Saccharomyces cerevisiae S288C: one gene and its partners. Changing the gene in region 4 together with the main gene of any one other region gives a genetic interaction. Each region holds a gene or a part of one and is shown on either strand. Other genes may lie near its edges.

Evidence for each region.
Region 1: mutations in AFG2 (region 4) and ENB1 together harm fitness more than expected from each alone (negative genetic interaction), as found in Saccharomyces cerevisiae (one large-scale study listed by BioGRID).
Region 2: mutations in AFG2 (region 4) and YLL006W-A together harm fitness more than expected from each alone (negative genetic interaction), as found in Saccharomyces cerevisiae (one large-scale study listed by BioGRID).
Region 3: mutations in AFG2 (region 4) and OCA4 together harm fitness more than expected from each alone (negative genetic interaction), as found in Saccharomyces cerevisiae (one large-scale study listed by BioGRID).

What each region holds. Positions count from the first base shown.
Region 1 is NC_001147.6:16,716-25,753, forward strand, and holds ENB1 (Enb1p), read right to left. Parts: upstream 4,597-9,038; coding exon 2,776-4,596; downstream 1-2,775. Other genes in the region: CSS3 (Css3p), read right to left, coding at 566-1,081; oligo-1,6-glucosidase IMA2, read right to left, coding at 5,810-7,579; hexose transporter HXT11, read left to right, coding at 8,558-9,038.
Region 2 is NC_001144.5:129,581-137,021, forward strand, and holds YLL006W-A (uncharacterized protein), read left to right. Parts: upstream 1-6,764; coding exon 6,765-6,941; downstream 6,942-7,441. Other genes in the region: PSR1 (phosphatase), read right to left, coding at 1-1,033; copper metallochaperone COX17, read right to left, coding at 1,625-1,834; DRS1 (putative ATP-dependent RNA helicase), read left to right, coding at 2,149-4,407; LMO1 (Lmo1p), read right to left, coding at 4,722-6,719; ERMES complex subunit MMM1, read left to right, coding at 7,006-7,441.
Region 3 is NC_001135.5:286,688-292,002, forward strand, and holds OCA4 (Oca4p), read right to left. Parts: upstream 2,572-5,315; coding exon 1,483-2,571; downstream 1-1,482. Other genes in the region: aminophospholipid translocase regulatory protein CDC50, read left to right, coding at 75-1,250; YCR095W-A (uncharacterized protein), read left to right, coding at 2,952-3,110.
Region 4 is NC_001144.5:912,050-916,756, forward strand, and holds AFG2 (AAA family ATPase AFG2), read right to left. Parts: upstream 2,844-4,707; coding exon 501-2,843; downstream 1-500. Other genes in the region: tethering complex ATP-binding subunit VPS33, read right to left, coding at 1-261; SKI complex RNA helicase subunit SKI2, read right to left, coding at 3,107-4,707. UniProt on the Saccharomyces cerevisiae protein: ATP-dependent chaperone which uses the energy provided by ATP hydrolysis to generate mechanical force to disassemble protein complexes.

The DNA of each region.
Region 1 (9,038 bases), on a different chromosome or scaffold from region 4:
GGTGGTAGCGGTAGTGTCGACTTTTATTGGAATGAGAATTAACTATCATATATCGACTAGTATCCATAGTACGTGTATATTATCGTATACAACGTAAGAAAGACATAAATATTGAGAAACAGTCAACGATTTTAGTAGAGGTTGAAACGCGAGGCTTGATAATTTCATGGGATAATGAATGACGGTATATAAAATGAAAGAAGATGTAATAATATTCATTATCATTCAAACTTTATCTCAGCCCATCCTCATCTTTTTCAGTACTGTATGTGAACTCGTCCACAAACACCGTATAGCTACGTCCTCTTTCATTTTCAGGTATGTATCAGCTTCTTGCATCACGCCACCACTAGCACAACGAAAGTATACAATACAATGTCATTAACCCTAGATGCTGTTGTTCCTCGATGTTGTGTATACATACATTAACTCGAAAGTGCGATGTTAATGATGTCCCAGTGCTATATAATAAATCTACAAACTAAAAAATCTTGATCACATCAACCAAAAATGTATCTTACTGCTAAATGTGTCATAAAAGGGTTCCAGTATCCTTACTACACCATTATATAGAAGACTCTTTATAATTTCTTCCGTCAGAATAATTACTTATCAATAGATTGTTTAACGTAGGAGGAGTTGGATGAGCGCAAGCATTTGTTGAGTTATTCGCAACTGGATGAACATAATGTCCTTCTTCATCATATACACGCATTACCAAATCCATTATATCTGTACAATAATCAGTCTCAGAATTATATGGCTCAGGTCCGTTATAAGTCGATAGATCTAGGTTACTGTACTCATAAGAATCTGTAATAGCCTCCAACTCAACTAAGGTATCCCTATAAATCAAAGATTGCTGATCGCCGGGTTCAAACCGTCCCGTTCTAAGTGTTCTACCACTTTTATCAGAATAAATATCATAGTAAGATGCTTGGAATAGCCAGCATATTTGATTGTTTGTCATATTAGTTGGCAAGTTGAAAAATACTTGGTAACCGCTGGTGATATCAACATATGCGGAGCATAATGAGTACAATTGAGAAAAAATGCAAAATAAACCAAATAAGGGAACCATTTTTTACTAAGCCTCTCTACCCTTTTAAAAATGGTTTTGACTTCAAACGCTTAGGAAGCAAACATGCTACTGCTATTTTTTGTCCAAAATTTTTATCCTTTATAGTTAATGTTTTTAGATATTGCGCGGATCCATTTAAAAGCAATTTTAGTTTGGTTACATAATGTTCAGACATGTATTTTAAAAGGTTAAGCGGCGTGCCTTAAAGCATTTTACTCCCGAGTTTGATTGACTCGCTTATGTTCATAGGTATATTAAACAAGAATTATGGAGAAAACAGTCTTTAACGTGTATTTTTAAATCTATATACATAAACCGTAGGACGCGGCATTCGACTGCTTTGATAAGAATTCAAAAGTTAGTGTCCGGAAATCTATTTTTAGTAAAAGTAATAATGTTATTTGTACAGAGTATTGCAGAAGTTCTCTTTTAGAGTGTTATGAATTCATGAAATCGAATCTATAGCTTGCAATATAATCAATGCCATAATACTACTGTTGAAATAGAGAATTTGGTGAATAATTGGATAATTGTTAGGATTTTCATTATTATTGAAGGCTATAATATTAGGTATGCAGGATATGCTAGAAGTTCTCCTCAGATATATAGCAATTCATGAAGGATCGTCGATTATTCTATAGAATAGTATTATTACTTCACTTTCCATTTTATATGTTGTGATTCATTATCTTATTACATTCCTAATTCTTGAGTGTCAGCTTTCACTAAATTTCATGGCTGTTTCTCTATCTTTATGTCGCCTTCACTTATTTCTACACTCCTCAAGATTAAGTATCTAATTTTTGTAGGAAAACGACACTGCAAAGAGTGGATCAATATATAATAACATGTTTTAAATAAACGTCTACTTATGATGGAAAACATTAACTTGTGAGTTAGGATTTTTTGTATATGAGATATTTTAAAGAAAATTTAGTTCCAAAGGAGAAAATGACTTGCACAAAAATGACATGGGCAAAATACCTAATATTAAATGAGCTCTATCTACAATCCGTGCAGCTATACATACTTTCACGCTTGTTATACATTAATCAGCGAACCATTATAAGTATGGGGCCACTAATATTTCATATATTCTCTGATCTGAGACTGTTGGAGTCGATTTCTCGCACAATCAGCACTGGTTAAAATTTCGTGGGGTTACTGCTTCTTTTAAGTCGGTCAATGTTTTCTTCATTCTTTCGAACTTTGAATATTTTTTATGACGTCAATTATAAGAAGTATGAAAGTCAGGTTAGCAACAGCTAAAACTAAATAATAAAGGGCTCAAGCAGGCTTACGGCAGGTGGTGATTATATTTACACTACTAATTTTTTTTAATTCGTTTACGCTCTAGTAAAAGTTCTTCGCAACATTTTTTTTTATATTTCTTTATAAAAACTACGGGAAATGACAGGTGCGAATAATCTCATTGATTTTTGTATTGTCAAGCCCATTTAAGACTATAATATTGCTGAAATAAACGTAACAAACGTATGGATATTCACTTAGTTAGAAAAGAAAAATAAAATAAAACTAATTCGAACTTTTTGTTGTTTTTTATTTCAGACAACAATATTATACTGTTACACGCCATTATTGATTACTACTTACATTAACAGTGATTATTTCAAAGAGAATTCTAGTTCAGGAAAGAGCTTAACACTATATTTGTATCGCTAGTACTCTCCAGCTCAATATCCAATTACACGACGGAGCCATGATTGTTGTTTGATTTTGAGCTTCTCTTTCTCTCGTTCTTCTGCGGAAAGACTTTGCTTCTTGTTTACAGTAAAGCCACGCAAGAAAAAACAGAGAACAGCATTGAAAGCCGCAAACGAAATGGACACAATTATCAATAAGCGTTGAATCTTCGAATAGGATTCTATCATCTGAACACGAACCTCTGATCCAATAGGGTATTTTTTTAGATAATTGAGTGGTGATTTGTAGATTGCCATCCCTAAACTAGAGCCGAGTCGCTGTATCAACTCCTTTGCCAGACGCTGAGTCCATATAGCACCAGCGATGGAAGCACCTACTGCGTCTCCGATTTGATAAACGGACATTAGTAACCCAGTGACAGTTGCCATCTCATTGTGGGTGGTTGAAGCGTGCACTAGCGTCCACATAGGAAAACGTATCATACCACCAGCTATACCGACCACAATCTCAGCGCCAATAAGACCCGAAATCCCGTCATATACCACCCTGTATTTGTACAAAAGACCCATTCCGATGACACCAAGAAGCGACCCAGCGACTACAAAGACTTTCGGATGAGGATAGAAATGCAGCATAATGCCGACAACAATATTAGTGCATGACTGTAGAAAATTGTAAAGCTGAGCTATCCGCTGCGCACTTAATGTTGATTCTCCGAATGCTACCATTAACACGGTGACCAAATACTCTAACTCAATCTGCAAACCTAGACGCCATACAAATTCCATTAGCAATGCAACGTAGATGGTTGGATCACCTAGATATACTCGTGGGATAAATGGATTCTTAGCAAATTTTAATTCCCAAATTAGAAAGATAAAACCTAAGCAGCCACCAACCACAATCATTGCAATAATGTGACCCTCTCTCCATTTGGAGGTGGCTCCACCAGCTATTGTGAGAGGTAATAATACTAAAACTAAGAAAGCAGTGAAAAGAATGACTCCAATTAAGTTTATGTCATCCGCAAATTTCCAGAGCGTTTGACGCAGGGTCTGTCCTTTTTCTTTCAATTTTAATGGTGGTAACTTACCGCTGCGCCAGGAAATGTACTGAGCATACACATAGGGAAGGACCAATATTAGGGTGGAGATGGGCACAATGATGCAAAAAATTCCATAGCCCCAACGCCATTTATATGGTGCAACATTACCAGCAACTGAGCTAACAATATTTCCACTTACCCATGTGTTTATAATCACGGGAATCAGAAATATGTTCATCGCAAATGTACGATCTCTCAATCCAGACAGATCACCAGTCAGTGCTGTAGCAAGAAGACGAAATCCAGAATAACCGAACTGTTGTATAACAATACCTGCAAAAAGTCCGGAAAACGTTGGAGTAGCAGCAGAAATAATTTCTCCAATAGTATAGAGCACAAGCGCAAAAATCCAGCATTCTATACGTCCAAACCGATCAGATATACGTGCGTATGGCACTGCGACAACAGAGGCTACTATTGATTTGACGGTATTGATCGATCCTACTTGAGAATGCTTTCCAAAACTGTTAGCGGCATAGGTTTGTATTGATTGCGAAATCTGCCCTCCGAGTCCAGTACAGTAACCCTGCAAAAACAGAGCCACCAGTAGGGCGGTCTTGAGTGAACTAAACGTAACTCCAAAAGCTGTGAAAGAGCTGTAGTCAGACAAGACCTTGTTGACAGCGTCTATACGGCGCAAGCCAGACGTGGTAGACTTCTCAACATTGCTATCTGTCTTTTCGCTGTAGCAGACAGTGCTTTTATCGTCTAAATTGTCATTCCTAGAGTGATCAGTTTCCAGCATTTTCAGAGAGACATTCACGAGCACTTTTTTGCTATATTAGAGTTCTGCTAGGACCCAAACCATCATTTCAATTAAATAAGTCATCTCTATTATCCAAACATAGACCCTTCGCCACTCAAAAGCCACAGAGGGGTGCAATTGTAAGCCGTGGCAGCCTCTATAATAGTATACATTTGTATCACATTTGGGTGCAATAATTTAAACAGATTTTTGCAGTTGACTCAGGACTAAGGGCAATTCTTGCCCAAACTACGGAACCCTGTTTCTGATCCGAAGGGCTTATAATCCATAGAAACCCTTACATTTGCTCACTGAAAACCCTGTGTCCTTATTTGGTATATATGATGCGAGGATTAAACGAAAACGGAAAATTTTAGGTTTGAGGGTCCCATTAGTTCAACTAAAAAAGAAAAACGAAAAAAAAAAAAAACAAAGTCAAACCATAAAAAGTTTTGAACTACAGAAAATGTAGGCTTGTCTATTCTCCTGAATTTGACTTTTTTTTTTTCTAACTTTTTCACACCCCTTCATTAACTAATTAAAACTGTCGTAGAATTTCCCTTCATTTTTATTCAGCCATCCTCAGTTAGGAACGATTGATACAGCCTTCATTCGTCATTTCGTGACTTGCATGTTGGATTGGAAAATTTGCTGGCGGAGCAAAGTCAAGACGTTCAGAGGGAATAGTAAATGAGATTGTACGAACCGGTGAATATATTTTGCTGGCTAGATTTTAAATGGCCATTGTGTTATTGCTCTATCAACATAAAAGAAAGTATATGTGTTTTCAGAATCGTAAAATTTGTGACAAACTAAAAATCAGTATCTTCATAAAAGTAGTAGAGACATTTCATAGGTACGTTCCGCCCTTAGATAAATGTGGCTGCAGTTCATAATGCAGTGTGTAGTAGAGATGATTCTGTTGATCATAAACAATAATATATAATTTCACTAGTACTTGTTCTTATATGCACATAACTCGCCGTATTATCTGGCCAAATGAGCTATAGAGTAACCCTTCTCTCAGCATTATTATAATACAATACCAATGCAAGGACATATGGAAAATGCTACACAAAACTATACTTTAGTGTATTACATAACTCATACCGCACTACCAGATATATGTCGTTACTATTTAAAGTGCGGTATGTAACATAGATAAAAATAAGTATATGTATATGTATAAAAATCTTGTCGTCACAATCATCAATCATTCAGATATGTAAATTCTGCCCTCCCATGGCTTCAATGTTCTGGAAGACGCATCAACTTCGCTTCTTGGGTAGTTTCCGAATTCCAACTTAAACGACGAGCTATTGTTTGGAATCGTGAAGTCAATCGAATCAGAGCTGAAGTTCAAAGCAGCAAACAATGTTTTGTTGTCGTATTTCTTTGTGAAGCTGAACAGTTTCTTATTGTCCAAATCAATAAACTCAAAATCATATCCATATACAGTAATATCCTTGTGTGCCTTTCTAAATCTCAAGGCCTCCTTCCAGAAGTTCAAAACCGAGTTGGGATCCTTGGATTCGTCTTCAGCGTTAATTCCTTCCCTGAAAGACTCGTTCAAGTAAAACCATGGTTTAGCATTAGGACCAGAAAAACCAGCATTTGGCTCCTCACGAGACCATTGCATAGGTGTTCTAGCATGGTCTCTGGAAATAAGGGCAATTGCTTCCAAAAACCTCTTCATCTCCTTCGAGTTTTCTCCATGCTCTTCCTTGATCGCATCATAGTTATTTCTAACTTCGACATCCTCGTATTTTTCGATAGGCCAGTTCTTGAAATTGATTTCACCCAGTTCCTGTCCTTGGTACACATATAGAGTACCGCTCAGTGACACCAACAACACAGACAACAACTTACCAGAAATAACACGGTTCTTAGGAGAATCGTCACCAAATCTGGTAATTGAACGAGGTTGGTCGTGATTTTCCAGATAAATTGTTGACCAACAATCAGTTCCGTTAACGTATCTGAAAAGTTCAGCAAGGGCAACCTTCCAATCCTTTAGTTCATATGGGATCAAATTTTGACGGAACTTGGGCGAAGTCCCGACATCAGTGTGGGAAAAGTTGAATAACTCACTAAGTTCGTGTCTTGATGCACTTGTATACAACCTCTTGGTTTCATCAGTAGCATGTTGCATTTCACCAACTGTCATAATTTCTCTGCCATCCTTCACTCTGTTTCTGATGAACTTGTTCATTTCTTGATGAAACTCATGGATACGTGGTCCGTTCATTGTGAAAGGATCACTGGGTTGCCACTTTGAGTTTTCGTCAATCACAGGAGCGTCTGGTAGACCAGCAACCTTGGAGTACAAGCTTCCCACATCAATTCTAAAGCCGTCTACACCATGGTCTAACCAGTATCCAACGGCACTTTCGTAGATTGCCTTTCTACAGTCCTCATTCTCCCAATTCAAATCAGGTTGGGTGGAGCAAAACAAACGCAAGTAAAACTCTTGTGTCTTTTCATCGAACGTCCATGCAGAACCACCGAAGTAAGACCTCCAATTGTTTGGAGGAATTGGCTTGCCTTCGGCGTCATAACCCTTAGGAGGTCTCCAGAAGAACCAGTCACGTTTTGGATTGGTTTTTGAGGATCTGCTCTCTTTGAACCATTCATGTTCGCTCGAGCAATGGTTGATGACTAAGTCGGTGATAAATTTCATACCAAGCTTATGTGTCTTTTCGATCAAGGCAAAGCAGTCCTCGTTCGTACCGTAGGTTGGCCAGACCTTTTCGTAGTTGGCAATATCGTAACCCATATCATCTTGTGGCGAGTCGTAGAATGGTGAGATCCAAATGGCATCGGCACCAAGCTCTTTGATATACTCCAACTTGGAGGCAATACCCTTCATATCACCCCACCCATCGTTGTTGGAGTCTTTGAAACTTGCGGGATAAATTTGATAGATTGTGGCCTCTTTCCACCACTTGGGTTCTGTTTCTGGATGTGCAGAAGAAATAGTCATTGTACGTTGCTTTCTTTTCTTTATGAAAAAACTTTCACTTTTGTTTGTGTGTTTGGACTGGTGAATGGAACATATATTCTAGTACAGCTAATTCCTCGAGTGAAGAAGTCTTTCTTACTTATATATGTCTTTTACGTGCCTATGGACGTCTTACGAATGATCGAAAATAAGAAAAGAACAAAGTAAATTTAGGATCTGGAAGGAGTGCTGTATGTAAACGAAGCTTTCAGTTTTAGGTAATGTTTGCACAACCTACATGATATAACATGGTATGTTCTGCAAGAGCGTGCCTGGCCCTTGGCCCGTTATAGCAGATCATACCATCTGCAAGCAGACCCCATTATTGCACTGCCTCCGCAATCTTGCGTATACGTAGTCCCACGACAAAGTACGAAGCGTAAACTGACCTTGTTCAGTTCCCCACAAAAATTACATAACCATTTCTCCGCGGAATTACATAATCATTTCTCCGCGAAAATTACATAATCATTTCTCCGTGCGAGTTATAAGTGCTTTTCTCGTGCATCCCTTGGCACTTCACAAAACCTTCTTTTTCTTTTTTTTCTTTATTTCAGGGGAAATCAGTGCAAAACTAAAAAAGAAAGAAATTTTGTGAAATGTAAACTCCAGGTGTCAAAAAATAAATTATATCCGTGGAAAATCAGGCGTCGGAAATTGTAGATGAAACCGCCTCCTCCACAATAAATGCTGACCACACGAACAATGCATACACTCGGACACCTTCGTTCAAAGTATCAGTAGCAGTTCGACACACCGTATACTACTTAGCTCTTAAGGTCTAGGCTCATCTTTCTCAGTTCCTCTTTTTCGCTAATTAAAGGTATATAATGTCACAGTTGTGTAACTAGAGAAGAGCACACTTGTTCCTATCTTTTTCTTCTTCTTTTTTTGGTATGAGTTGAAAAAAATAATCATTGCACAATTTAGTTCTAAACGCTTTTGTTATTACTCAATATCATGTCAGGTGTTAATAATACATCCGCAAATGAGTTATCTACTACCATGTCTAACTCTAACTCAGCAGTAGGCGCTCCCTCTGTTAAGACTGAACACGGTGACTCTAAAAATTCCCTTAACCTAGATGCCAATGAGCCACCTATTGACTTACCTCAAAAACCCCTCTCTGCGTATACCACCGTCGCAATCCTGTGTTTGATGATTGCATTTGGCGGCTTCATCTTTGGTTGGGATACCGGTACCATTTCTGGTTTTGTTAACCTTTCTGATTTCATCAGAAGGTTCGGTCAAAAAAATGACAAGGGAACCTACTACTTATCGAAAGTAAGAATGGGTTTGATCGTCTCAATATTCAACATTGGCTGCGCCATAGGCGGAATTGTCTTGTCAAAAGTCGGTGATATATATGGTCGTCGTATTGGATTGATTACAGTTACTGCCATTTACGTTGTAGGCATCCTAATCCAAATAACTTCCATAA
Region 2 (7,441 bases), 780 kb from region 4:
TGAATAATCTGTGATGAATGACTTTATCTGTGTCTAATATATCAAGCAAAGGATCACCGTATCGAGAGACACTAGCCGTGAAGACTACAACCTCGAATAATTTTCCGACTCTTTCCAAAAATTCTTCCACACCAGGTCTTTTAATGACATAGACATTGTGTACTTGGTCATCTATTTCCACAGACAAAACAAAATCCGCAGATCGTAAGTATTTGAAAGAAGAGTGTACCAAGGTTTCATCCAGGTCCAGTATTAGGCATTTCTTGCCCTTTGTACTTTCATCTTGTGGGGGGAGCAGAGTGTTGTAACCTGGTGCATGATACTGGCCCTGCTGCAAAAGCGTTAGATCAATATATTCTTCATCTTCATCGTCTTCGTCGTCGGCATCGTTGGAAGTTTCACTGGCTTGAGAGCTGCTACTTACCCTACTCAAATTCATATCTTGGATAAGATGGTCAGACGATACTTGTACAGTAGGCCCTCGCTGCTGCGACTGCGACTGCGACTGTGACTGTGACTGTGACTGGGGTTGTGGTTGTGGTTGTGACTGTTGTTGTTGTTGCTGCTGTTGTTTTTTCTGCCTGGAAGTATCTTTCACAGCATCTCCTTTTTCCTGTACAATGCCACGACTGCGACGGTTATCTTCATCGTCGATCTCTTCATCTTCGTCAACCTCGTATTTTTCCTCGTAAAGATCATCTTTACTAATTCGCTTCTCTACTTTTGTCATATTATTAGTAGTAGTGGCGGTGACGGCTGCAGTCGGCGACGATGGCTTCTTTTTTTCATTATCGTTCGTGCTTATCCCAGATTTACCGGTGGATCGTTCAGTGGAACTGAAAGTAGCGGCTGAATTTGTCTTAGAAGGAGGAGAGTTTGTCTGATGTACGCCACGGGTTCGGCTTTTCGTGTTGGAATGTTTAACGCTTCTGTTTTTATTGAGAGAACTGCTCTGTTGTTGGCGATAAGCAGAATTGGAATTGGATTGTGTCGTCTCGGAAGAGCAGCACAGTATTGACGATATGAAACCCATACTGTTTTGCTACTTATTGTTGTTAAAGCTTACGAACACGAATGTAGGCAAATAAAAAGCTTGGATAAACGCACAATGAAAGGGGAAGTGCGATTGATTATGCTATAAGGAATGACACGAAGAGAGCAGACTATAGGCTAGGCAGGCGATAAAGGAAGGAGTTGTACTTGACGACAACGTAATAAAGAGTTCAATGAAAGAGTATTGTGAGCAGTATGGTTCAACGAGCACTTCTTCTCGACACCTATTTCTATACTTTTTCACTTAATATACACTAACTAATCCCAGACTTTTTTTTTTTTCCGTTCTTTCCAGAAAAAAAAGAAACAAAGCAAGCGTGCCCTGACTTAGGGTTTCCTAAAAAAGTTATTAGGTTTGTGTCACGTGATACGTCCTTTTCTGGTCACGTGGTCTTAGAACACTCTTAAGGGGCCAAGCACAAGAGGACAGTGCTAGCAGTAGAAGTGGTGTAGTAGTGATGAGGTAATGTTAATTGTGCATCGCACATATTTACAGGTAGTATATACTATAGTTTGTGAATACCTATTCTTATATATACAAGAAATGGTTGTCGGCAGACTGTCAGTAAGACTAATTTGCACTTGGAACTTCGAAGCCATAACCCTTCATGCACTCTTTGTACTTTTCAATGAATTCCTTGCATTTTTCAGAGTCTTGTCCATTGAATAAGATGCATGTATCCCGCTCCTCCTTTTCTGGCTTACAAACGCAACATGGCTTAGGTTTGTCCTCGCACTCCGCGTGGTTTTCTTGTTCTTGTTTCTTGTCAGTTTCAGTCATTGGGTATAATTGATTGTGTAGTTATCTGATTGTGTACACTAAAATTTTGTTTAGTTGTACTAGAGACAAGTAGTTAGGTGGTTACTAGATTCTGATTCGCCGCTATATATCGTCATTTTATCTTTTTTTGAAGGAGATAGGTAGGGTTATAACATTATCCGGGTAATGATTTGAAAAAAAATTTTCAAAAAATGCGATGAGATGAGGTTGAAAATTGTAAGTTAGAATATGCTTAGATAGTATGAGTATTTACGTTGGTAACTTGGGTTTCGAATTGGAGCTGTGTGCCTACAACAGCGTCTTATATATATACTATGGTGGTAGGAACTAAAAAATACTCTAATTTGGACTTTGTCCCTACAATCAGTGACAGTGAAGACGATGTTCCAATTCTAGATTCTTCTGATGACGAAAAAGTCGAGGCTAAGAAGACTACGAAGAAGCGGAAGGGTAAGAATAACAAGAAAAAGGTTAGTGAGGGGGATAACCTCGATGAGGATGTTCATGAGGACTTGGACGCGGGGTTTAAGTTTGATTTGGACGCCGATGATACCACTTCGAACTTCCAAGGCTGGAACTTTCTAGCAGAGGGCGAGTCCAATAAGGACGATGCCGAAGCTTTTGTGAAGAAGGACGTTGACTTGGATAAGATTATTAGAAGAAAAGGTGGGCTGGTGAAAATGGCCCATATTGATAGTAAACAAGAAGAAGAAACCGAGAAAGAAAAAGTAGAAAAAGAAAACGATAGCGACGATGAGGAATTAGCAATGGACGGGTTCGGTATGGGAGCTCCCATGAACAATGGAGACGAAAATCAGTCAGAAGAAGAAGAAGAAGAGGAGGAAAAGGAAGAGGAAGAGGAGGAAGAGGAGGAACAAGAAGAGATGACGTTAGAAAAAGGCGGCAAAGATGACGAAATAGATGAAGAAGACGATTCTGAAGAGGCAAAAGCCGATTTCTATGCGCCTGAAACTGAGGGAGATGAAGCTAAAAAGCAAATGTACGAAAATTTCAACAGTTTGTCTTTATCTCGTCCGGTTCTTAAGGGCCTTGCAAGTTTGGGTTACGTCAAGCCTTCCCCTATTCAAAGCGCCACAATCCCCATTGCCTTATTGGGTAAAGACATCATTGCCGGTGCTGTGACTGGTTCCGGTAAGACTGCTGCGTTTATGATTCCCATAATCGAGCGTTTGTTGTATAAACCAGCCAAAATCGCTTCCACCAGAGTTATTGTTCTATTGCCCACTCGTGAGTTAGCTATCCAAGTCGCTGACGTTGGTAAACAAATTGCACGTTTCGTCTCCGGTATAACCTTTGGTCTGGCCGTTGGTGGTTTGAACTTGAGACAACAAGAACAAATGTTGAAATCTCGTCCGGACATCGTCATTGCTACCCCAGGTAGATTCATTGATCATATCAGGAACTCAGCAAGTTTTAATGTGGACTCAGTAGAGATTCTGGTTATGGATGAAGCCGATAGAATGTTAGAAGAAGGTTTTCAAGATGAACTGAACGAAATTATGGGCCTATTACCAAGCAATAGACAGAACCTATTGTTTTCTGCTACAATGAACTCCAAAATTAAAAGTTTAGTTAGTCTTTCTCTAAAAAAACCAGTAAGGATTATGATTGATCCTCCAAAGAAAGCTGCTACTAAGTTGACACAAGAATTCGTTCGTATTCGTAAAAGAGACCATTTGAAGCCTGCCTTGTTATTTAATTTGATTAGGAAATTGGATCCAACGGGTCAAAAGAGGATTGTCGTTTTTGTGGCTAGAAAAGAAACTGCTCATAGGTTAAGGATTATCATGGGTCTTTTAGGTATGAGTGTGGGTGAATTACACGGTTCTTTAACCCAAGAACAGCGTTTAGATTCCGTTAATAAATTCAAAAATTTGGAAGTTCCTGTACTTATCTGTACGGATTTGGCCTCCAGAGGTCTTGATATCCCCAAGATTGAGGTTGTTATCAACTACGATATGCCCAAGAGTTATGAGATCTACCTGCATAGAGTTGGTCGTACCGCCAGAGCTGGTAGGGAAGGTCGTTCCGTCACCTTCGTCGGTGAATCATCTCAAGATAGAAGTATTGTACGTGCTGCTATAAAGAGTGTAGAAGAAAATAAGTCCCTAACTCAAGGTAAAGCACTTGGTAGAAACGTAGACTGGGTTCAAATCGAAGAAACAAACAAACTTGTTGAATCCATGAACGATACGATTGAAGATATTCTGGTGGAAGAAAAGGAGGAGAAGGAAATATTAAGGGCTGAAATGCAATTAAGAAAGGGTGAAAATATGTTGAAGCATAAAAAGGAAATCCAGGCAAGACCAAGAAGGACATGGTTCCAAAGCGAATCAGATAAGAAAAATTCCAAAGTATTAGGTGCTTTATCAAGGAACAAGAAAGTCACTAACAGCAAAAAGAGAAAGCGTGAAGAAGCTAAGGCAGATGGCAATGGTGCACGTTCTTATAGAAAAACCAAAACCGACCGTATTGCAGATCAAGAAAGAACTTTTAAAAAGCAGAAGAGTACAAATTCAAATAAGAAGAAGGGCTTCAAAAGCCGTAGGTAATAATTTTCATCGTCATTATCATAAAATATCAACATACTTATCACTGTCATTATATTATTAATACTTTGTATTTAAATATCATTAATTCATCTAATAAACAGGGGATTAGTCAAAAATTCCTTTTTTTTTGTTGAATCTGTAGAAGTGAGTATTAATAAACTGCAAGCTATATGCTATATTAAAAGGATTTTTCAAGTACAAACGAACTGAATGGAGACTCAAGCTACTTGCGGGAAAGAATTACAAAATTACATTCCATTCTAGTAAAAAAAAGTTATAAATAAAAAAAAATCGTCTGACGACAAATTTGTATCTTAATCAAAATAAAAATTTTGGGTTACTTTCTTTAACGTTTCCAAGTTATAAAATTCTTCATCTTCGTCCTCGTCGCTTGGTTCAGGTGGAGGCACTATGATGTCCTGACGAACGTTCAAATTTATCATCTGAACATTTTTCCTCAAATCAAATAAAGTGTCTATTTGTTCTTTCGTGTCTTCTGATATATCTTCATGCTGGAATGGAGATATCAATTTCAATCCGTCTAGCCATATATATCTTCCCTCTTCTGTGTCTAAATAAAATTTCAAAACTGTCCTGTCGTTACGATCTTTTAATTCAACTCCAGTGTACACATTGGCTTCATCTAATTTGATGTAAACATTACTGCTCGTCCGACGACTCGGTGTAGTAAGTTCTATGCTTTTGAAAGAGGTTATATGTTTCAAAACAACAACTTTTGTTCTGCCATTAGCTAATGCCTCAGAACCTGGACTTGTTAAAATTTTATTGTCGAATAGATAAGGTAAATCGTTTGTTTGTGTTTCGAATTCTCTGGCTAATAAATTTGCGTGGTTATCTGAAACTATGAGGAAGTAGACTTTAGGCGTGCCAGCTTCAGGATTCAGTGGGTTCTCTGCGTAAACCCACGTTCCCTTTTGCAATTGAAGAAGTCTTTGATGACGAACGTAATCACGAACCTGGCCTGATAGCATGGTATCGAAGCTAGCGATACTAGATGACCAGGTTCGATACTGTTCTTTTTTGATTGAGTCTAATTGTAATGTTCTTGCAAATTTATATCTCATAGAGTCAAGTGCAACAACTTGGGTCTTGAGAAGGGATTTCGTCTGTATTGCTGCTTCCAAATCACTGGATGACAAACAAACATATTTTAAAGTGATAATAGCTAAATTTAACAGTGAAACCAAATCACTTTGCGATTTTGCTAATGATTCTATCCAAAATCTCAAAAACAACTCGAGTGTTTTGTAAAAACATGTTTGTCGATTGAGAACAGCGGTAGCAATTTGTAATTTTAAATCACGCTCTGAGTCTGAGTATTGGTTCTCTTTTTTCCCACTTAGATTGAAAAGTCTTCTAAATTGGTCTGAAAGTTTAAATATTGCTTCATAAAGAGGGAAATCGTTCTCGCCAAACAACAATTGTTCAGTGTAAAGTCTCTTGAAAGACCCATTAGGACTGTTTAAGAATGTGAATGTATCATACGCATTTAATAAATTTATACTGGGAAGATCGCCCATTTCCATTTCTAACCCTTTTTGGAATACGGAGTTATCTTTGATGGCTGTAAGAAGATCAGCTTTAAGCGAACAGGAATAATCATCAATACTAACCGAAGATAGAAAATTTATTAGCCTCTGCTTTAACGGTACAAATTCTTCAAGGATTAGTGGTTGCAAGTCTTCTATGTAAAGTAATTCAGACATGGAAGCTGGAAAGTTATACTGAAATAGCAAAATGAGGATTCTGGGTACAAATTCTACGGCGTGTGATAGTGATGTCTCACATAATGTAAGTGAGCATTTTAAAAATAGGGTTATGCATAGTATAGTGTCCGTAAACAACGGTATATGAATAGGTCTTTGGGACAAAAGTTGTAAAAGTATTCCAATGAGCTGAGAGTTCTCTCTGGAGATGTGGCAGATGCTCACAATAACTTCATTCTTATTAGAATCTTGGCATTTAAGGGCTACATTAAAAATCCTAATGAGATTTGCTACCAACGTTTCTGACCTTAGCTTTTGGCAATTATCACACAATATAGCCCAAAATCGGGAATCTGGAATTACGGTTTTACATAGGTATTTTTCATCACAAAGGAGGATATAGTTTGCCAATAACTTTTCGTATTCATCACTTGTCTTGTTCAAATTTTTATTACTGATCAGCGTATGATAGCAAGCTTTTGATTGTGCACTCGTAAGTGACTTGACTGGCTTTCCTAATTTAGGATTCAGTAGCACTTTTATGTTTTCCAAGCTTTCATCTGGCATCTGCCTGTTATGCTTCATTGCTTATGCCGTTATTTGAGGTTACTTTAATCTATTTTCCTACTGATGACACAATTGAGTCAATCCAACGTGGAACGGGTTGCCCTTGTATACATTTCAGTTTACTTCTTTTCATGTATTTCCTTAATAGTTTATTTTTTCACTTTCTGCCTATCCGTTTCAATTCCGAAGAACCGTCAACATCCAATAAAGATCATCTACAACAATAAGTGCCCCTCATAATTTTCTCAATGAGATGAAAGAACTTTGAGAGAGTCAATATAATACCTGTAGCCTTTTTCTGAAAATGACTGATAGTGAGAATGAATCCACCGAAACGGATTCGTTAATGACGTTTGACGATTATATAAGCAAAGAGCTACCTGAACATTTACAGAGACTAATCATGGAGAATTTGAAGGGTTCTACTACTAATGACTTAAAGCAAACTTCAAACAACTCAGAGTTTAATGTCAGTAAAAACGGGAGCTTCAAAGGTCTCGATGATGCAATTCAAGCTTTGCAAATGCAAAGCGTGTTGCATCCTTCTTCGTTAGGATCGTTAGCAACGTCCTCCAAATTTTCTGGATGGTCGTTTGCTCAAGGGTTTTTTGTAGGACAGCTAAGCATAGTGTTGTTGTTCATCTTTTTCCTAAAGTTCTTTATATTCAGTGATGAGCCATCTAAAAGTAAGAATCCGAAACCTGCAGCCTCCCGTCACAGATCAAAATTTAAAGAATATC
Region 3 (5,315 bases), on a different chromosome or scaffold from region 4:
CTTATGTCCATGACGCACTGCGAACAAAGAATAATTGAGTAATCGAACTTGAAGTTCTATAGAACAGCTTGTATATGGTTTCATTGTTCAAAAGAGGTAAGGCTCCACCGCTCACGAAAGAAGGCCCCACTTCTAAAAAGCCTCCTAACACAGCGTTTAGACAACAAAGGCTTAAGGCATGGCAACCAATACTGTCTCCTCAAAGTGTGCTTCCGTTGTTAATATTCGTTGCATGTATATTTACTCCTATTGGTATTGGACTCATTGTAAGCGCTACTAAGGTACAAGATCTAACAATTGATTATAGTCATTGTGATACAAAAGCATCTACAACTGCTTTTGAAGATATACCAAAGAAGTACATTAAATATCACTTTAAAAGTAAAGTTGAAAATAAACCACAATGGAGGCTAACCGAAAATGAAAATGGCGAACAATCATGCGAACTGCAGTTCGAAATCCCAAACGATATCAAGAAATCCATTTTTATATATTATAAAATAACCAATTTTTATCAAAATCATCGCAGATATGTCCAATCGTTTGACACAAAGCAAATATTAGGGGAGCCTATCAAAAAAGATGATCTGGATACAAGCTGTAGTCCAATAAGAAGTAGGGAAGACAAAATAATATATCCCTGTGGGTTGATCGCTAATTCCATGTTTAATGATACATTTTCTCAGGTGTTGAGTGGTATAGATGACACAGAAGACTATAATTTAACTAACAAGCATATATCATGGAGTATTGATCGTCACAGATTTAAAACCACCAAGTATAATGCTAGCGATATTGTTCCACCGCCAAACTGGATGAAGAAGTATCCCGATGGGTATACAGATGAAAATCTTCCTGATATCCATACTTGGGAAGAGTTCCAGGTATGGATGAGGACTGCAGCCTTTCCCAAGTTTTACAAGTTGACGTTGAAAAATGAATCTGCTTCTTTACCGAAGGGTAAATATCAAATGAACATTGAGTTGAATTATCCGATTTCACTCTTTGGTGGCACAAAATCATTTGTACTGACTACAAATGGAGCTATTGGTGGTAGAAATATGTCACTAGGCGTACTGTACCTCATCGTTGCAGGGCTTTGCGCCTTATTTGGCATCATTTTTTTGGTTAAATTAATCTTCCAACCAAGAGCGATGGGTGATCACACTTATTTGAATTTTGATGATGAAGAAAACGAGGATTATGAGGATGTACACGCAGAGAATACAACATTGAGGGAAATTTTATAGAGGCCAAAAAACAAACTTTAGTGCCTGTAGGTATTTGTGTTTATAAGTAAACAAGTTTTGTTGACTTCCTGAAACGTAAACAAAAGAAAAATTGAAGTATGCCTTTTTACGCTTGGAAAATAGTGCGACAAAGAACTCCCAGGGTTTGCTATTCCCATTTAGATGATGAAATGATAGAAAAGTGGAAAACGTTTATCATGAAATCATCTATACATATACGTAAAAATGTAAACTATGTAAAAATATGTTCCCTATAAAAGTGATGCTCTTCCGGAACGTTTTCTTTTTCCCACAAATCTCGTTGAAACCTGAACCAATCTGGTAATTCAGAATCACAGGGTATCCTTATTTTGACGTTATCTTTTCCCCTTGCTTTATAATAGCCATAATCTCCATTTTCTTTTTTATTAAATGCTAATCTATACCTATGGCCAAAAATTCCTAGGTCAGAAGAGGTTTTCTTCAAATCGTCTCCTAGAACTCCACTTACTTGTAATACTTTATTATTTTTCACTTTGGTTTCGATTTGATTTATTAATGTCAAAAGCCGCTGAGGCACTTCTGGCTCTCTGCAAAGGTCATCTTCATTTACTCTAATAAGTTTGCCAGAATTGGCCTTATACTCTATCGAATGCGTCCTATTATTCTCAAGGGGCAATTTTTTTGCTTTGTTGTCCACAATTGTCTTATTATCCTTCTCCTGTTCTATCTCAATGTTAATTATTTCTAGAAATGTTTCCGCAAAATAATTTCTATTCTTACCAGAAAATAATCTGTACTCATTTATGATTGATGCAATATTCCATTTCTGAATTTTTCGAAGTATACCAATGACCAACGCGGTCTTATCTACCAATAAAACATTATAATTATCCACATTCAATAATGTTTTGAAAGTTCTTTTTAAACACGTGCTCTTAATCAGCATTAAGTCATCATTGTCAGTCAAGTGGTAAGCCAATTCCTCCTGAATTACAGGATCCCCTGTAGTAGAATTTTGTGACCCATTTGCAGTGGATTTTTTCTTTTCTTCCTGTAATGATAGAGTACTGTTATTATTCGAATATAAATTTGCGTTAGATACAGAAGAGCTTTTTACCGGAACTGCCGCAGCCGAGAAATCAGACATCCTTAAAACAATCCATTTTATGGATGATCTTGTGAAAAAATCTTTGAAAAACTTGGATGGTTCTTGACCTCCAATAAATATAGCTGTCTTTAAATTGAGAGTTTCCAGAAAGGATAAATTTAATGTCTCCACTTTAGAACATCTATATATTCCTTCTTCAGCAATCCCAAAGTTAGCAGGTGGAACCAGCATTATGAATTCAGGTTATGGATCGCACCAGTGCTGTAAGTGTCTCTCTTTTTATTCTACGATCTCCATATAACAACCACATCTCATTTCTTTACCTTACTGTCCATTTAATGCTAGAAAACTTCCGAATATTGTATTATTATTACCCGGATATGTCAAGGCGGTATATTAAGATGTTCCTTTCAAAAGTTTCATTATACCGCATACGGTAAGGACAGCCATAAGTAGTTTTACTGATAAAATATGGGGCTAAAGAACTGTATATTTATGGATAGCACTAAAAGTAAAGATTTTCCCCGTGTCCTGACTTGGAGAAACAAAATTTCATTGTCATAAAAAACTTTTAAAATATGATATTCAAAGCTTGAGCATTGGGCTTCTGGATGACAGTTCTAATCAAGTTGGGTCTAAGGATATTGCATGTATACAAAGGATTCTTTCGGAAAGTAATCCTGAAATATTTTTTTTTTTCGTCTGAACATACGAAAGTAAATAAAAAAAGTTCAATGCATGCCTTCCTATGCAAGATTTATAAAAGGTGAACAGGTCAGGAGCAGCCACATCTCAATAAAGGCAGTTAAAGACGGTGATGTAGGTGCAGAAAGAGAAAGTGAACAAAGGATGATTTGAGATGTGTAATGATTCGTTTGAGCAGCAACAACTGCTAAGATATTCATACTAATAGGCCACTTCACACATTATGCCTTGGAGAATATCCTGCATTGCTCCTTTTATAGTATAGTCTATTCAGCACTAACAAGCAAAGCGAACATAATGGTAAAACTAACTTCAACTGTTGCTGGTGTCGCCTGCATCGCTGGCCCTCCCCTCCACTACGGCCATTTTAGCACAACTTGAATGAGTCAACTTGGTTGAGTTGCATGTTAACGTCTCTGATATCAGAGCTCACTTGCTCAATAATACATGTTACAAACTGCCCACTAAATTGAACACTCTAACATTATATTGACCTGAATTATTTGAAACGAAGTCAACAGAATGATCACTGATTTTCCAATGTACTCCGCTATGTTGAAGCTAGCCATCTTAAGCGATCAATGACGGTGCTCAATCATTCTTCGAAATGGGCTAAAAATGACAGTTGAAATATATTCTTTACGTTCATTTTTTTTCATACTGCAAACCCATTCTAGAACCAATGGTAAAAGTGACGGGAGTTGCTTTCTTTTACTATTTCAATGATAGCTATAGCCTGCATACACACAAAAGAATGTAAGTGATTGCGTGAAAGCTTAAAGTCTTAAAACTGTATTTTTTTCAACTCCTCCCATATATTAAACTGGTCCTCACAGTTCGCAGGATAACTAACAATTAAAAAAATTGTTCATATGGTTGTATTTCTTTCCGTCTCACATTATTAAAATTCAACGAAGAAGTTTCTACAATAACAGACAAGGGCCTACGATTACTATGTACTGGAAGGTGAGTCTTGAATTCATCCTCAGAGATTGTTCTAAAGACCAACAGAAATCCATATAGATTACCGTAGTTACTCTGATGGAATTTCAGAGTAAGACCCTTGTCAACTTCATCACTTTAAGTTGAGATGTAGAAAGACACTTTTGTAAGGTCTCCAACAAGTATATTTGATAAATAGACTGTTGAGCTACAAAAACTCAATGTGAAGTAAAAGACCTCATAAATGATCGATTATCTGTTTGGCAGGTACTAATAAAACTGCATTGGTGTCTTTTTTCACTTACGTTAAAAAAAACTTTTTGCAATGATTTAAGCGTGCGTGAAGATAACACTACAATCCATTTTAAAGCAACATCCACATTGAGTGTATACACCACAAAGGTTTTTTCAGGGCGTTTTTCTCGCCACTTTATGTTGACCAAAATTATTAATGGAACTTACAACGTTTCCAAAAGTTAGTTAAATACATACGTCTATTTACTAAGCAAGAAATATATCATGACAAGCCCAAATATTATATTGTTATGTTTACAAAAAAAAAATGGCTATATACATCAAGTCTGGAGGCTTTTTATAACAAGCAAGTGGGGTAACTTAGACATAAGATTGACTTCTTTGAATTCAACAAAAATACATACTTTTGATGATTTCAATGGTAGAAGCAGTAGTAACTATGCCGATGAAATAAAATCCTGATATCATCTATATAGTAGTACTCACGTTACTAGTATATCATCTATAAGATGTAGGAAAATGTCATAAGAAATGAGAAACAGTCATTAAATTTAATGGAAACGAAATGCAAGGATTGGTGATGAGATAAGATAATGAAACATAGAAAACGAAAGGAGAAATAACAGTAGTATTATTATTATTATTATTATGTAGAAATATTGACTCTCTCTTGTAGATTCATATATCTTCAAGGGGAACTTCTTGTACATTTTGTATACCTATATTATAGCGTTTAACAACAATGGAATCCCAACAATTACCAAAATTTTCACACATTCCTCATATAAAATCTAAGCAATGACTAGAGAACTATCGCTAAATTATATAGAGCAAGGAAACCGAATAATTACATGTGTCAGATAAGAAAAAAATAAAGAAAACAACGCGTCATGAAAAAGAGTTACTGAACCTTCAGATCCTACTTATTGTAATGCTTCGCGACATCCAATCCATTTAATAATCAATTTAAAACTAGAGTTGGTAGAGTTCCTTGTTGAACGTGATAACCCAAAAGCATAATACGAGTAATGTTTCAGTATTGCTATTATATGTTTACACAAGGAAAACATATA
Region 4 (4,707 bases):
AATAAGAAAAATAAGATCCATTTGCGGAACGCTGCCTAAGGCACTCGGTAAATCGTCACTTAGCTGATCATCGAGTAACGTAATTTTCCTTACAGGAGTTGATTGAGTCAAATCTTGGAAAGTTAGCAAACTATTGAGTACTGGCAATACACTTGGTTGAACCACAAGAACTTCATCATTTTGAGATATCTCATTTAAGGTAGCACATAGTCCATCGGCATTTGTTAATGAAAATTTCTTAGTATTCCAAAATCTATTCATCGTGAAATGATTTGATAAAGTTGGAGATGGGCAATATCAGCTTTTTCTTCCTTTCTCGAATTTTCTATCTTTTAACTAATTAACATATAACTAGTTCCAATTTGCTAACCTTTATGATATTTTATTTATGTATGTTCGTGTGAAGTGATTAATATATTATACAAAATGACCGGAGTTCAGTATAATTTCTATCTACTATTATTGAGCACACAAAGGAAAAGAATTGACTATGAACAAGCTTACGAAGATGAACCGCTTCTTAGAGCAAACTCTTCATAATAAGAGAGCATTTCTGGAGTAATGCCCCTAGCAATTCCTTTAAAAGCTTTCTCAAAATGACGTAATTCCACTTTTGCGACATCTAAATCTTCCATTATGGCAGCCAAGCCCGCTTCTTGACAAAGCAGCACAACTTCAGCTCCGGAATAACCTTCTGTACGGTCTGCCAATTCATGAAGATCGACTCCAGACTCTTCTGTATTAAATTTCTTTGTGCACTTCTTTAAGATTTCCAAGCGGGCGTTTACGTCTGGAGGGCCAACGTAAATGTGTCTATCTAACCTACCAGGCCTTAGAAGAGCAGCATCTATTTCATCAGGTCTATTCGTCGCCGCTACAATAACTACACCCTTTAACTCTTCAACACCATCAATCTCATTGAGTAAAGATGTGAGCACGTGATTAGCTGCAGAGGTGGAACTCCCGTCTCTATCAGGAGATAATGCATCGATTTCATCAAAGAAGATAATACTTGGAGCTGCAGAGCGTGCTTTGCGGAAAATTTCTCTTATAGCTCTTTCGGATTCCCCTACATACTTGTTAAAAATTTCAGGCCCTTTCACAGCTAAGAAGTTGATACCCGATTCTGTAGCGAGAGCTTTTGCGGTTAATGTCTTGGAGCAACCTGGCGGCCCGTAAAGTAATACACCTTTTGGTGCAGAAATTCCCAGCCTGGCAAAAGTCTCCGAAGCCTCCAAAGGCAACTGTATCATTTCTTTCATCTTTGTTTTAAGCTCTTCTTGGCCGCCAATGTCAGACCAATAAACTTTTGGCATTTCTAAGAAGATTTCTCTCATTGCGCTGGGTCTGATATCAACCATGGCGCTCTCCACATCTTTCAATGTAACTTTTAGGGAAAACTTGTCAATATTGGCGTCTGTTCCTAGTCCTCGTTGTATCGTCTTCATAACTGATTCTCTGCAGAGAGCAGTTAAATCAGCACCAACATAGCCATGCGTTTTAGAAGCAATGTACTTGATCGCTTCAGAATCTAATACGTGACGATCCGAGGACATTCTTGAGAATTGCTTAGTTAAAATGTCAAATCTGGCATCAACGTCTGGTATACCAATTTCTACTTCTTGGTCAAACCTGCCAGGTCTCCTGAGAGCAGGGTCGACAGAATTAGGCCTGTTTGTAGCAGCAATTACCACCACTTTACCTGCAGCGCCCATGCCATCCATTAGGGTAAGCAATGTAGCCACGACTCTGCTCTCAACTTCACCGGAGTCATCGTTTGCTCTATTTGGTGCTATTGAATCAATTTCGTCAATGAAAATAATGGAAGGCTGGTACTTCCTTGCTTCATTAAAAATATCTCTTAATGCCGCTTCCGTTTCACCAAGATATTTGGAGACGATTGAGGGGCCATTAATGGTTAGGACGTGTGCGTTGGACGTATTTGCTACAACTCTCAAAAGCATAGTTTTACCAGTACCTGGGGGTCCGTGAAGAAGTATACCTCGAGGGGGAGAAACACCAAAGCTACTAAATAGCGTCGGTTGATGAAGAGGTATTTCAATAGCACTTTTCAGTGATTCAATCTCCTTGTCTAAGCCGCCCACTGCTGCATAGGATAAGGGCTCCGGAAGATTGTATTTACGATTTGCCTGGGTTTCTTTCGAAAAAGTTATATGTGTGGAGCCTTTTCTGAATATAAAAGGTGGAGATAGATAAAACAGGTTATCTAATCCACCGTACATATCGTCCATGTTAAGATCTAGTTGGCTGACGTCGGGAAGCGAATCATCGCTCGCATCTGTAATTACGACATCAATGCTTTCATCACCTGCTTTTGTTTTTAAGTTTTGAAAAATCATTCCAGGCATTATAACGCCACTATCATCCAGTAGCTTTTGAATTACTTTTTCCTCCATACATTCCAAAATATTATATCCTTGTAAGGACCCCACGGTAACCTTAGTGGCATAAGGTGGTTGCACCTGGGCTTTCTTTAATTCTAGACGATCACCAAGGATAAGGTTCCCAACAGATCGTATAGTTGTGGAAAGGGTGATAACATTAACAGGATGTACTTCTTCATCACCCGCTCTAGCTATTACTAAAATACCATTTTCGCCTATCTTACCGACAGTACAAAATGATCCCGGATTTATCTCAAGCGAGGATAATACGTTAGGATGAATATATGCTGTGCATGTTTCCTTGCCATGATCTTTAGAAGGATGTGGTCTGGTAATAAATTCAGCAGGCAATTTAAATTTGGATGCTTTTGCATCAGCACTATTAGAACTTGCCGATGATTTCTTTTTGGAACCGGAAGAACTAGATTTAGGAGCCATTTTCCTTTCTATGATTGGGCAATTTTGAGAATGGGCAATGTTGAGAATTCAATTGTATATTGTTCGCATATTAGTTTATGTGATGAGGCAATATAAAATTTTCTTACAATAGTCCGCCCGTTGCTTACATGAAAGAAAAAAAAAATAAAGATGGATCGAAGTGGACTTAAAAACTATGTATACGTGTGTGTGTGTGTGTGCAATAAGAGTTCGAAAACATTAACTTTTATAAACATGACTCACATTGAGAATAAATGAGCTCTCTATAAATACAAACTTGCGGCGAAAACAATATCTCTCTTAATCAACTCTTGAGCCCTGCTCATCTTCATATGTAATGTGGAATTACCAATAATAATAGAGGCAGTCTTAACTTCGCGGCAAATTTCGTCTAGCCAAGTGATAACTCTGACTACAGTACCTTCAGCCTCGGGGCTCATTTCCATGATTTCTTTGAATGATAAACCACGGGCCCACTCATACACCACATTCATCATGGCAAACCTTTTTCTGTCCAAAAACTCAGCTTCATCCTGAGTTAATGGAATCTGATGCGTATTGAAAACACAAAGCATTTTCTTGTAAATTTCCTCAATTCTTTGTTTACCCTTTGCTAGCCTTGGTGTGACAATAGGAGGCTCCTCTTCCCTGGTTTTCCCCTCATAAACAAATACTGATAATAAGGCTACAATCTCTTCAGGTTCAAAGCTTCCTAAAAAGTTGTCTAAAATTAATTCAGTTAAAACTAACTCATAACCAGAATTAATTTCACATGCCACTCTACCTTTTAACAGCACGTTGTGGTTTTGGTCGATAAATTCAGTGTCTTTCAGAACAGCCAATCTCTTTTCATAATCGGGTAGTAAGCTCAGATTTTGGTCAGACATCAAATGGTACAATTCTTCAATTTTCTTTTTAATTACATGCGCCTTAAACTTGGGAACAATGTGTTGGCTTAGGTTGGGACATTTAATGCTTTTTAGTTTGAATATCTCATCCCTTATATTTGTACGGTCTAACAATATTTGGTGAATTTTTAAACCTTGCTTTTCAATGTTAATTGCTTCTTTTAGCGTTTTGCCGTCCAAAATGTTATTTGTTTCAGCGTTAAACTCGTTCAAAGCGGCAACATCCTTTTTAATCACTTTTCCCAAGGGTGCGGCAAACTTGCGTTTAGTGATCACTTCAATAGCCGTCACAGGAACTTCTTCCATATAAAAATCAGTCTTCTGGAATTTAGGGAAGTTCCTTCTTCTGTATCCATCCGCTTTTGGAAAGTATATTAAATGATTTGGCTCACCATTTGGGAGTTTGTATGGTTTTGTGAACGTCATAATGACACAAACAGCATCCTTCAGAGAAACTTTAAATACAAATCCTAATTTCAAGCAATCATTGGGGTCCCTAAAAGCAACGAGTCTGCCCTCTTTCAAGATATGCAATATCGAAGGCGATTTAACCATTTCTTGCATTAGGTTGACTGTTGCCTCCTTATATGCCAGCATCAATTCCAAAAACTTTTCGATATCATTATCACAGATTTCACAACTTTTGTACTCTATGGTTTGTAATTCCTCTTGTAATACTTTGATTTGTTTTTCATGTTCAGGTTGTAAAGTTTCTTTGGCATTCTCACTAAAAGAATACTTGATCATTTCTTCAACTCTCAACGCCTCAATTCTTAAAAGATTTAATATCATATTGTATGTTAATCTAAACTGAGACTGCAACCTCGTCGGAACACCCATCGTTACTTCTTTGAACGTAGCAATAGATAAAGGACTATTATATGCCATCACAATGACTGTACCAGTGGAATCCAAGCCCCTTCTACCAGCTCTACCAGCCATTTGGGTAAACTCAC